Arabidopsis thaliana: one gene and its partners. The protein of the gene in region 2 purifies or fractionates together with the protein of the main gene of each other region. This does not show direct contact. Each region holds a gene or a part of one and is shown on either strand. Other genes may lie near its edges. The genes, in order: AT2G43460, AT2G32220 and AT3G45930.

The links.
Region 1: the proteins of AT2G32220 (region 2) and AT2G43460 fractionate together in Arabidopsis thaliana (co-fractionation; one large-scale study listed by BioGRID). This does not show direct contact.
Region 3: the proteins of AT2G32220 (region 2) and AT3G45930 fractionate together in Arabidopsis thaliana (co-fractionation; one large-scale study listed by BioGRID). This does not show direct contact.

What each region holds. Positions count from the first base shown.
Region 1 is NC_003071.7:18,045,676-18,049,437, forward strand, and holds AT2G43460 (Ribosomal L38e protein family), read right to left. Parts: upstream 1,727-3,762; 5' UTR 1,618-1,726; coding exon 1,615-1,617; intron 1,251-1,614; coding exon 1,067-1,250; intron 633-1,066; coding exon 610-632; 3' UTR 290-609; downstream 1-289. Other genes in the region: AT2G43465 (RNA-binding ASCH domain protein), read right to left, coding at 2,057-2,116, 2,203-2,357, 2,426-2,519, 2,635-2,760, 2,849-2,967, 3,035-3,122, 3,206-3,263, 3,341-3,389 and 2 more.
Region 2 is NC_003071.7:13,677,049-13,680,024, reverse strand, and holds AT2G32220 (Ribosomal L27e protein family), read right to left. Parts: upstream 1,116-2,976; 5' UTR 1,081-1,115; coding exon 673-1,080; 3' UTR 502-672; downstream 1-501. Other genes in the region: PRORP1 (proteinaceous RNase P 1), read left to right, coding at 1-87, 162-233, 319-417; AT2G32210 (cysteine-rich/transmembrane domain A-like protein), read right to left, coding at 1,471-1,516, 1,632-1,770, 1,918-1,948.
Region 3 is NC_003074.8:16,881,307-16,884,662, forward strand, and holds AT3G45930 (Histone superfamily protein), read left to right. Parts: upstream 1-2,009; 5' UTR 2,010-2,083; coding exon 2,084-2,395; 3' UTR 2,396-2,703; downstream 2,704-3,356. Other genes in the region: AT3G45920 (Protein kinase superfamily protein), read left to right, coding at 876-1,033, 1,145-1,565. UniProt on the Arabidopsis thaliana protein: Core component of nucleosome. Nucleosomes wrap and compact DNA into chromatin, limiting DNA accessibility to the cellular machineries which require DNA as a template.

The DNA of each region.
Region 1 (3,762 bases), 4.4 Mb from region 2:
AGCAATAAATTTGACTTTTAAAGGCGTTTGGGCCCATTACGGAAACAACAAGTAATTAACAAGAGAACAGAGAACCGCATAGAGAGAAAATGTTAAGATCAAGGAAGATTCACCAAAGGCCAACAAATATATATACCAAAAAGCCCAAGCTCCAATTGGGCCTGGTCCCCATGGATTTGATTGTTTCGAATAACAACAACACCTCAAGCATGATACTGCAAATTTGGTGCTATCATGAGGTTTTTACATGTTTTGAGACTATTATGCTATAATTCAAATGATATGTCGAAAAGTATATAACCTAAAATCGTAGTTAGTGCTAAGATCAAGGAGTAATTTGGTTATGATTCATTTAATGAATGTGATTGTTATTATAAATGATGGAGAAGGTACCAACTCTCAAGTCTGAAAATAAAAATCCAAATTGAATCCAGAGTTGAGAACGTATTTGGTTTTTCAAACTGAATTAAATCCAAAACACACTCAAACTCGAAAAGTCTCAACATAAATTTAACGACACAAAATAAACTCTCCTAAGGAAATTATAAAATGATGCAAAGGATTCGTCACCAAAGGAACTCCAATCTGCAGAAGAACTTTGCTTCATCTTCAAAGGTCTTGTACACTCAAACCTGAAAAAGTGCAACATAGTCCACACCTCAGAACACGCGTACAACAGATATGAGAATGAAGATACTTTTCAAAAACATAGTAACATACTAAAGCCAAAGCAAAGCTGGGTTTAGCAATCAAATGCCAAACTCAGAAAAATTTACAACGGAAATTGTGTGATGAAGAAGCTTACTTTAACGTACATAAATACTTAGCAAAATTCAAACAATGAAACTCAAGGCACAGCTATATTTAAAGTCCATATAACATAATGAATCCAATAATGTTGAATGTTGCAATACACACGCAATGTAATTAAGCAAAGACAGGTTGTTTCGAACCCATATGCCAAACTCAAATTTCATCAAGGTTTTAAAATGATCTAAAGTGTGAGAATTTATGCAGTGTAGTAGAGAACAATGTAAATTGAGCAGAGTTAAGAAGAATAAAAAACCTGGAGGAAGAGACTGCTTAAGCTTGTCGGCTTTCTCTTGGTCAAAGACGCAGAGCGTGTAGAGGTACCTCGAGCATCTGACCTTAAACTTGACAATATCCTTGCTTCTCTTGATCTTCACAGATCGTGCATCTTTCCTTCTAGCTGTCAGAAGGAAGTCCTTGATCTCGTGGATTTGCTTAGGCTGCAAACATTAATCAAATTAATCAATCAAAATTCAATACAAGATTCAATAATCCCAACCAATCAAAAGTTAATCACATGATAAGCAGACACGAGCTCAGCACATCAAACACATTAAGCAAACTCTGACCTAGGTTTTTGGTTAATTCACTAAAACCTACACGTTTCACTATATCCTAAACAAAGTAAGAAGCAATAATCAAAGCTGAAAATGATACAAAAATCTACATTTTTTGAGAAAACTCTTAAGATACAGGAACAGCTCTACTACACTATGAATGATTGCAAACGAGCTATGAAAACCAAATCATAAGCATCCATGACGGCGATATGAAACGAAATCGAAAGACCGAGAAATATTGTACCATTCTCGAATCTGTTGGTTGAAACTAGCCGCCGTCCACAGAGAGAGTCGAGCGAATTCGCCGTCGCGAGGATATAAAGAGATCTCTTAAAAACTTTGTATCAAGAAGCCCTAATTCGTAAACCTGAAATTCCATATTTACCCTCTGGACGATTTATCAAACAATGGGCTTTAAGGCCCAATCATATATCGCTTTAATGTCCCTTCACAGTTTTGCCCAATTTACAGTTTGTCTTAACACTTTGGTCCTCATATTTTCTTTTCATACCCTAATCATAACAAGATCAACCACAAAATCCTTCTTAGAAAAAAAAAAAATTTGATTTTTTTTGTCACAAGAAAAGAAGCGTTACAAATTTACACTTGTTGAAAGAAAAAACGATTCAACTACAAGAGAAAGTTCACAAAGTCCTAAAGACACAGAGATGTTTACAGGTGCGGTCTTAATGCTTCCAGGCCATGGAGTGACCATCCTCCATGTAAGGCTCAAGAAATCCAATGAACTGCCAATAAAAATAAACAGCAACAAAACAATTGATGATCAGACACGTCTGAAAGATACATACTTCAAGTCTCAAAATATACATACTTTGGTTCCATCTCGAGACCAACGTGCTCCATAGCCTTGAGCTACTCTTATCTCGAACACTTCACCATGTGGTGGAACGATATGTATGTTCATCCAACAACAATTGCCAATGAACCGATTGATTATGTCCATTGCACGCTCATTTTTATCTGAATCTGAGAAAAGGAAGAGGAAGACTCAATTATGGAAATGCATCAGTGTCCTGCAAAAATTTGTTACTTACCAGTTCCCTGAAGAACACCCCAAAATCCATCGCTACTTCGATCAACATGCTTGGCTAATGCTCTAGCTCCATGGCTCAATCTACAACCTTTTATCTCAACAATAGGAAAAAAGAAAGATTCTAAATTTGATCTCACACAACACAGCTTAACCATTCCCCAAAAGATTCACTACGATGTCTCTCGAACTATATCTTAGTTTTTGTGGTACCTTTGGCTTATATGGAAGCATGAATGAAGAGAGTAGCATCGATCTAGGAGGAGGCAGAGCATGAAAAATGGATCCAGTTGTGTGAGATAGACCGAGAAGGTTTTGCACGCCAGTGTAACTCAAGCCCTGCCATTTAAATGATGTTTTTGTAAGAAACATTGAATAATAAGAATCATAAATCACAAGGAGAAGGCTGAGAAAAACTTGAACTCACAGACAGTATGTGAGCCAAAGCAACACAAGGCTGAGCAACTGATTTACTAAGATGGATTGCCACAACACCATTGAAATTCTCTTGATCCGTATCATATAACTTCCTAAACATTTGCATACCTAAAAAAATTTGAAATCTTTGAAACAGAAGTTAATGGCTAAGGATCAGACAAAGAAAAAAGCTTACCTTCTTCCACTGTTTTAGTGCCAGGAAACACTTTCTCTGAACTCTCGGCTTTCAACAGCTCGTAAAAGGATGCATATTGGTGAAGTTCCTATATATCAACATTTAAGAGAATCAATCACAAGAAATCGTTTGCAGGAACACAAAAGCATGATGTCGGCAAATATATCTCACCAGAACTTCAAACATTAGACATTTATTTATCATAACCATTGAACCTCCTCTCCGAATTCTGAGGAAACCAAACAACATTTGTGAACACAAGAGACACAGAAGTAATCCAGCTCAATAACTTTTCACTTCTCCTACCTATCATACTCTTCTTCAAAACACCTTGCTTCAACTGTTTTGATGCCATCTAATATATCCATTTAAATTAAGCAACCCAAAAATCTGATCAAGAACTCTTACCACTTGATATTGACATTGCCAAGCTAAAAAGAGGAAGTTTTAACCTTTCATGAGGGAGAATAAGGGCTCTTGAACTTGAAGCTCGGAAAATACATCCTTCAAGGCCTGTTAGAATATTGCAAAGTGAACAAAACTTTTAACAATCAAAAGCAAACCAAAAGCTAAGCATCGATGACTCTGATTACCCCAGTACCAATGTTGCCTTTTGAAGTATAATCGACTATGACTCACTCACATTGACTAACTCAGAACCCTTTTGATTTATCAGCTTGCTCCACTCATCTTCTTTCTCCTTCAACCGGATTACTTCCTTCCCCAAC
Region 2 (2,976 bases):
TTGTTAGTAACAAACGATGAGATGAGAGACCATCTCTTCCAGTTACTTGGAAATAGTTTCTTCCCAAGGTGGAAAGAGAAGCATCAGGTAACATATAATATAAGAGTCTATGTAATGTATATACATAAGCTTTTGATTGATACTGGATTCAATGTTTGCAGGTTCGGATCTCTGTCACTAGAGAAGATGGACTCAAACTTAATATGCCACCTCCATACTCCATTGTTATACAGGTCAACACTCACATTTCTATGTCCATCTCAATGTTTTCGTATGCATTTTGCATTAATGATGATGATTGATTGATGAATGATGCAGGAGTCTGAAGATGGAACCTGGCATGTACCAATGAGCGTAGAAGATGATCTCCAAACATCAAGGCAATGGTTATGCGCAAAAAGATCCAAAACACCTTGAATTTTTTTAATCCTTGTTGTATCATCTGACATTGATTCTTCATTTCTTAATAAATTTGTGTTTCATTAACCACAAGATTGAAAGAAATGTCTCACAATGAAGAGTTACTAGAAAGATTAAAACTTTAACCATCAAAATTGAATATATATTACTGAAATTTAGAACAAAACATAACCTTGAGCTAAACCAGAAGCAAAAACAATTCATGGTAGATAAAAATTGAAACTTTAAAACTAAAATTAAAAACTGTAGAATTCAAAACCTAAGCTTGGTGAAGAACCATCTGTTCTTGCCAGTCTTAAACCTCTCTTCAAACTTCGCCTTCGCTTCCTTAAGAGCCGTCACTTTCTTATCCTTGGACGAGATCGCGTCGGCGGAGACAACGTTCTTCAGATCCAAATCAAGAGTGTAGCGCGTAGGCATCACGTGCTGGTAATTGATGACCTTGAAGAAGCATTTCACGCGCGATTTCTTAGCCGTCTTCTTTGCCGAATCCTTGCGAATGACTTTGCTTGGGTACTTCTTCAATCCGGCGACGAGACAGTGACCGTACTTCTTCTCAACGGTACCGTCATCGAAGGATTTCACGATCACCGCCTTTTTACCGGTGTATCGTCCTTGTAAAAGGATCACGGCTTTTCCTGGCTTCATACATTTCACCATTGTCACTCTCTTCTCTGTCTTTCTCTCGGCGCTTCCTTGGATTCTAGGGCTTTATCGGGAGATATTTATACGCATCGATTTGTTCATTATTTGCATTCTAACCCCAAGAGTTTTAATTGTTTATAACTTTGGCTTATATAGTGTTATTAAATTGATTTTAAGTCCACGTTGACTAACCGGTAATAAAGTCAAAAATGTGAATCTAGCGTGGTTTAGAAGATGTCTAAGAGAAAACAAACGATATATTAAGAATTTATAAAATTACACAATGCAAAAGAAAGAGTGATATAGAAATGAATTAACAAATAGAAGTACCAAATGTCATAAACCTAGTCGAATCATTTTGGTAAAGCAAAATACAAAGATAATCAAAATAAACCATCTAAGTCTTCAGAAGCATGCGTCGAGGACACAACAACAACACATGGCCGCAAGACTGCATTCAAAAAATGAAAGAAAACAAATTAATCAATGCAACACACGATAACCGAACCGGTTTGATAGTTAACCAAACGTGCATGCCTGGTTTATACTAGAAAAAGAAGACTAACCAGCCTTTTAAGAATCCATCACCCTTGGACTTTGTCTCCACCGTTGCCACCGTGGCATGACTTGTGTCGTTCGTTGGGTAACCTAGCGGTGGCGGTGCCACGTAAGGGCCGGTAGACACTGGCGGCGTAGGATAAGCTCCTATAAGTTATTCATATTTCACATTAGTCTTATTACCATTTAAAAAAGTACTTACTACTATGAAACTGCAAATATGATTATAACCATGAGAATATTGACTAAACATATGGTCTGATGCTAAATTAGTACGAAGAAAAGAATACAAACCTGAAGATTGGTTTTGGCTGTATTGACTCATCTTGGAACAGATAGATTGTGATTTCTCTTTGAAAACAAGTTAGAAGAAAGTAGTAACAAATGTAGAGAGGTGTATGATTATGAAATGAATTGAAATATGCAAATGAAGATAGAGATATATATATAGAGAGGTAAGGGAAGTAAACGAAGGTCGGTTTAGTAAAACCGCGTGAGGTCAAAAAAAAAAAACGCGTGAGGTCAGATTGCATTAACTGCTAAGTCTCCAGAAATTTATTCTCTTGAAGAATAACAATGTGTTGATTTTTTCTCTTAATAAATATCAACAAAAAGGTAAGATGCTATCGATTTGGTCTTTTAATTCGTTGTTCTCTATTTACAAAAGTATACGAATTAGAGAACCTTATATATAGAATATGTAAAATGATGATAAATGCAGCATGGTTTTATATTTTTCTTGATTTAGTAATAATAAAGAGTTTTTTTATTCTTTCTCAAAGCAAAAAGTGTACTTCTTTCTCCATGGGAATATTTACATGTTAAGCAAAAGAGAGAACAATAATTAACGCTTATATTAACTAATAAAAACTAACAAAAGTAGATCAGAATATATATGTTATTAGAAGTTATGTTTTACACAAACGGATCTTAGATAATAGTTTGAACCATAATAATTTTACTTGAATCGCTTTATCTCGTCCAAAGTGCGTGTTGTTATTAGAGTAAAACTTTATTTTCGAGAGAGCACATGAAAGTTTTCTTATGAAGAAGAATAATTGCTGGTTTCAAATTAGGTGGGAATATAAACGCAAAATGTGATTTAATTTAGCGTATCTAAATCTAATTCCAGAAATTTAAATGAACAACAATTGACAGTTTTGGGCACAAAGTAGAATAAATTTTACTATTACAAACTAAGTTGTAATAAAATAAAAAAAGTAGTAATAAATAATTAAATCAACAAATAGGAGGTCCAAATGTTATAAGCTAATCGAATCCCAAAAACTACTTGCAAAATACAATGAAAAATATTTGCATGAAGTGTCAAATTTAATAAACAATCGACTGCTT
Region 3 (3,356 bases), on a different chromosome or scaffold from region 2:
TATTACGATTAAATATAATTAATATTTTGGATATTAAATTAATGTTTGGGTTTTTGAATACTCTTTTTGGGTAACGGGTAATTTCTGGACCAGTCGGATATCCACGGGTTTACTAAAACTCTACCCAATAAGGAATTTCCTAAAATTTTAACCCGCCCTAACCCGGTTTTTTGGTTCGGATATTGGGTTGGTTATCGGATCCGTTTTTTCGTCAGCTCTATCAAAGATAATCTAATATAGGCCCCAATTAGGTCCACAAATATAACCAAAATACTATACAAAGACGAATTCTAAGTTAGGCCAAAAATTAGATCATCTAATACAAAGAAAACATGTTTCTTACCAAAACAACTTGTATAAAATTTTTACACATTTACTTAAAACTACATATGTTGTATTTATTATAAAAATAATATTTTTAAACAAAGTCAATCCAATGCAGCATTATATGCAAATAGTAAAAACATTGAAAAATATTATGATATCACTTTTATATTATACTATTTTTTATGTAATTCAAACAAAATATACAATTTAATTTATACAATATTAATGCCCGTACTGTATGATCTAGTTACATTTATATTTTAAAATGCTGTACATGAAATTTTAGTACATATAAGAAGTCGATGCTTTGTCACCAATCGAAACCCAGCAATGGTTTAATACTCTTTTTAAGTTTAATTATATTATAGTAATTAGTTCAATATCCTCCCATATAAATCATGACTTCATCTTGATCTAAACTTGATAATAAAAATCTTTTGATATGTAGGAAACATGGTGGCTCTGTTTTAAATTGGGATACCAGATTGCAAATAGCTAGCGAAGCTGCATTAGGATTATAATACTTGCATACTAGATGCAAACCAGCAATGGTGCATAGAGATGTCAAAAGTATAAATATATTATTGGATGAAGAGTTCAAGGCCAAAATTTCGGATTTTGGACTCTCTAGATCGTTTCAAGTTGGAGGCGATCAACCTCAAGTTTCAACAGTTGTTGTTGGTACTCTAGGATACCTTGATCCCGAGTAAGCATTTTAATCATTTTGCATCATGGTCTAAATATGTTACATTTGTTTCAAGTGGTTAGAGAATTGTAGATTAAATATGAATCACACTCCATTTTCTTGCCTTTACAGATATTACTTAACAAGTGAGTTATCCGAGAAGAGTGATGTCTACAGTTTCGGGATCTTGTTACTAGAGATTATCACAAACCAACGAGTGATTGATCAAACCCGTGAAAACCCTAACATAGCAGAATGGGTTACATTTGTGATCAAGAAAGGAGATACTAGTCAAATTGTGGATCCTAAACTTCACGGAAACTATGACACCCACTCTGTCTGGAGAGCTCTTGAAGTAGCAATGTCATGCGCAAATCCTTCTTCAGTCAAACGACCAAACATGTCTCAAGTAATCATCAATCTTAAAGAGTGTCTTGCATCTGAAAACACGAGGATAAGTAGGAATAATCAAAACATGGACTCTGGTCATAGCTCGGATCAGCTTAATGTGACTGTGACCTTTGATACTGATGTGAAGCCTAAGGCAAGATAGTATATACGTGGATCTTCTCTAATGTGACATAAACCAAACCTTTCGATGTATAACTTTATGTTATTAGTTAACCATTGTGAAATAATTTTGTTTTATTTACTTGTGTTAAATATGAATATTACCCGTTCGTAATATATATATGTGAAATGTTATAACGAAATTTTTTGTTCTATGATGATTTAATTTCGTTAGTAACGGTGAAAAGAATTTGGCGCTATATTCCTCAATCCGTGGCGCTTATTTGAAAATTTCATAAACTTTCACTTACAGGCATCACGGGGATCGACAATATTAAGCGTCGATAAAATTAAATCAACGGCTAATAAGTAATCTCATTGTTCACCCGGATCGTTATCTGCAACCGTTAGATCTAAAAACACATCTGATGGTTCAAATCAATTAGATCCATCTTGTATATAAATGACATCTCCTCTTAACAAAATTCTCAAATCATCTCAATCTCAATTAAATCTTCAAATCGAAAAATTTCCGAAGAAAAATTCAAGTTCCTTTAGAAAATGTCAGGTCGTGGAAAGGGAGGCAAAGGTTTGGGCAAAGGTGGAGCCAAACGTCATAGGAAGGTTCTGAGAGACAACATCCAAGGAATCACTAAACCGGCGATTCGGAGATTGGCTCGTAGAGGTGGTGTTAAACGTATTAGTGGTCTGATCTACGAAGAGACACGTGGCGTTCTCAAGATCTTTTTGGAGAATGTTATCCGTGACGCCGTTACTTACACTGAGCACGCTCGGAGGAAGACGGTGACTGCTATGGATGTTGTTTATGCTCTTAAGAGACAAGGAAGAACTCTCTACGGATTCGGCGGCTAGGGTTTTTGATTGTTGTTTTTTGTGTTTCTACGTTTATTAGGATGTTAATTTTCAGGATTTGGTGTTAACTTCGAAAAAATTAAAGAATTGAAGGTTGTTGTTGCAATTTCGTGATTGTTGAAGGTGTTGTTGCAAACTTTTAGTAATTTCAGTTTCTCGATGCTTGTTTAGTATCCTTTGAACACGACGCAATATCAAAATTAGTGAATCTCACAAGTACAAATGTCTTGGTCAGAAATAATAACCGGATCGGTTTAGATCGGGTTAGTATCAAATTGGGTTTGCCGTGAACCCCAACCAAATTAAACCCCTATGTCTTTGGTCCATTTGTTGGAGAATAATATGTATTTTAATACTTGATCACAATAGTGTTACACTAACAAAAGACATGGCCTCAAGAAGACTTGGAAGACACATAAAAACGTAGCACCCAAGAAACAACCAAAGGAACAACTATATGTATAATTGTTGTGATTCTCACATTCTCTCTATCTCTTGTTCTGTTTTTGGTTTACTTGTTCTAGAGAGAAAGAACAAGAACACATTTACTTTTAAGACTACATTGTTAATATCTTGGATAATCTTACACAACATAAACACACACATACATATAGTGGTTTTTCTCCACTTGCTACACTACACACACTTAGACTCTAGACCACATCACTGTCCTAAGACTTACATCAGCCACTCTACTATGTTGGAACTCCTAACTCCTTAATTCACTCTTACACAACATGACTCTATCTTAGACTAACAAGTAACAACACAACACTTATTCGTTATGTTGGACCTTAACTAGACAACAACAAAACACTTATTCGTATGGGCCTTATCTCATCACTTATGGCCCAACACACAAAACACAAACCCATTTAGTTTGTTAACTTTCTTCTCTTCACGACGTCTCTTCTCCGACATCGTCTTCTTCTTCCGTTGCTTCTTCCTCTGTTCTTCATCT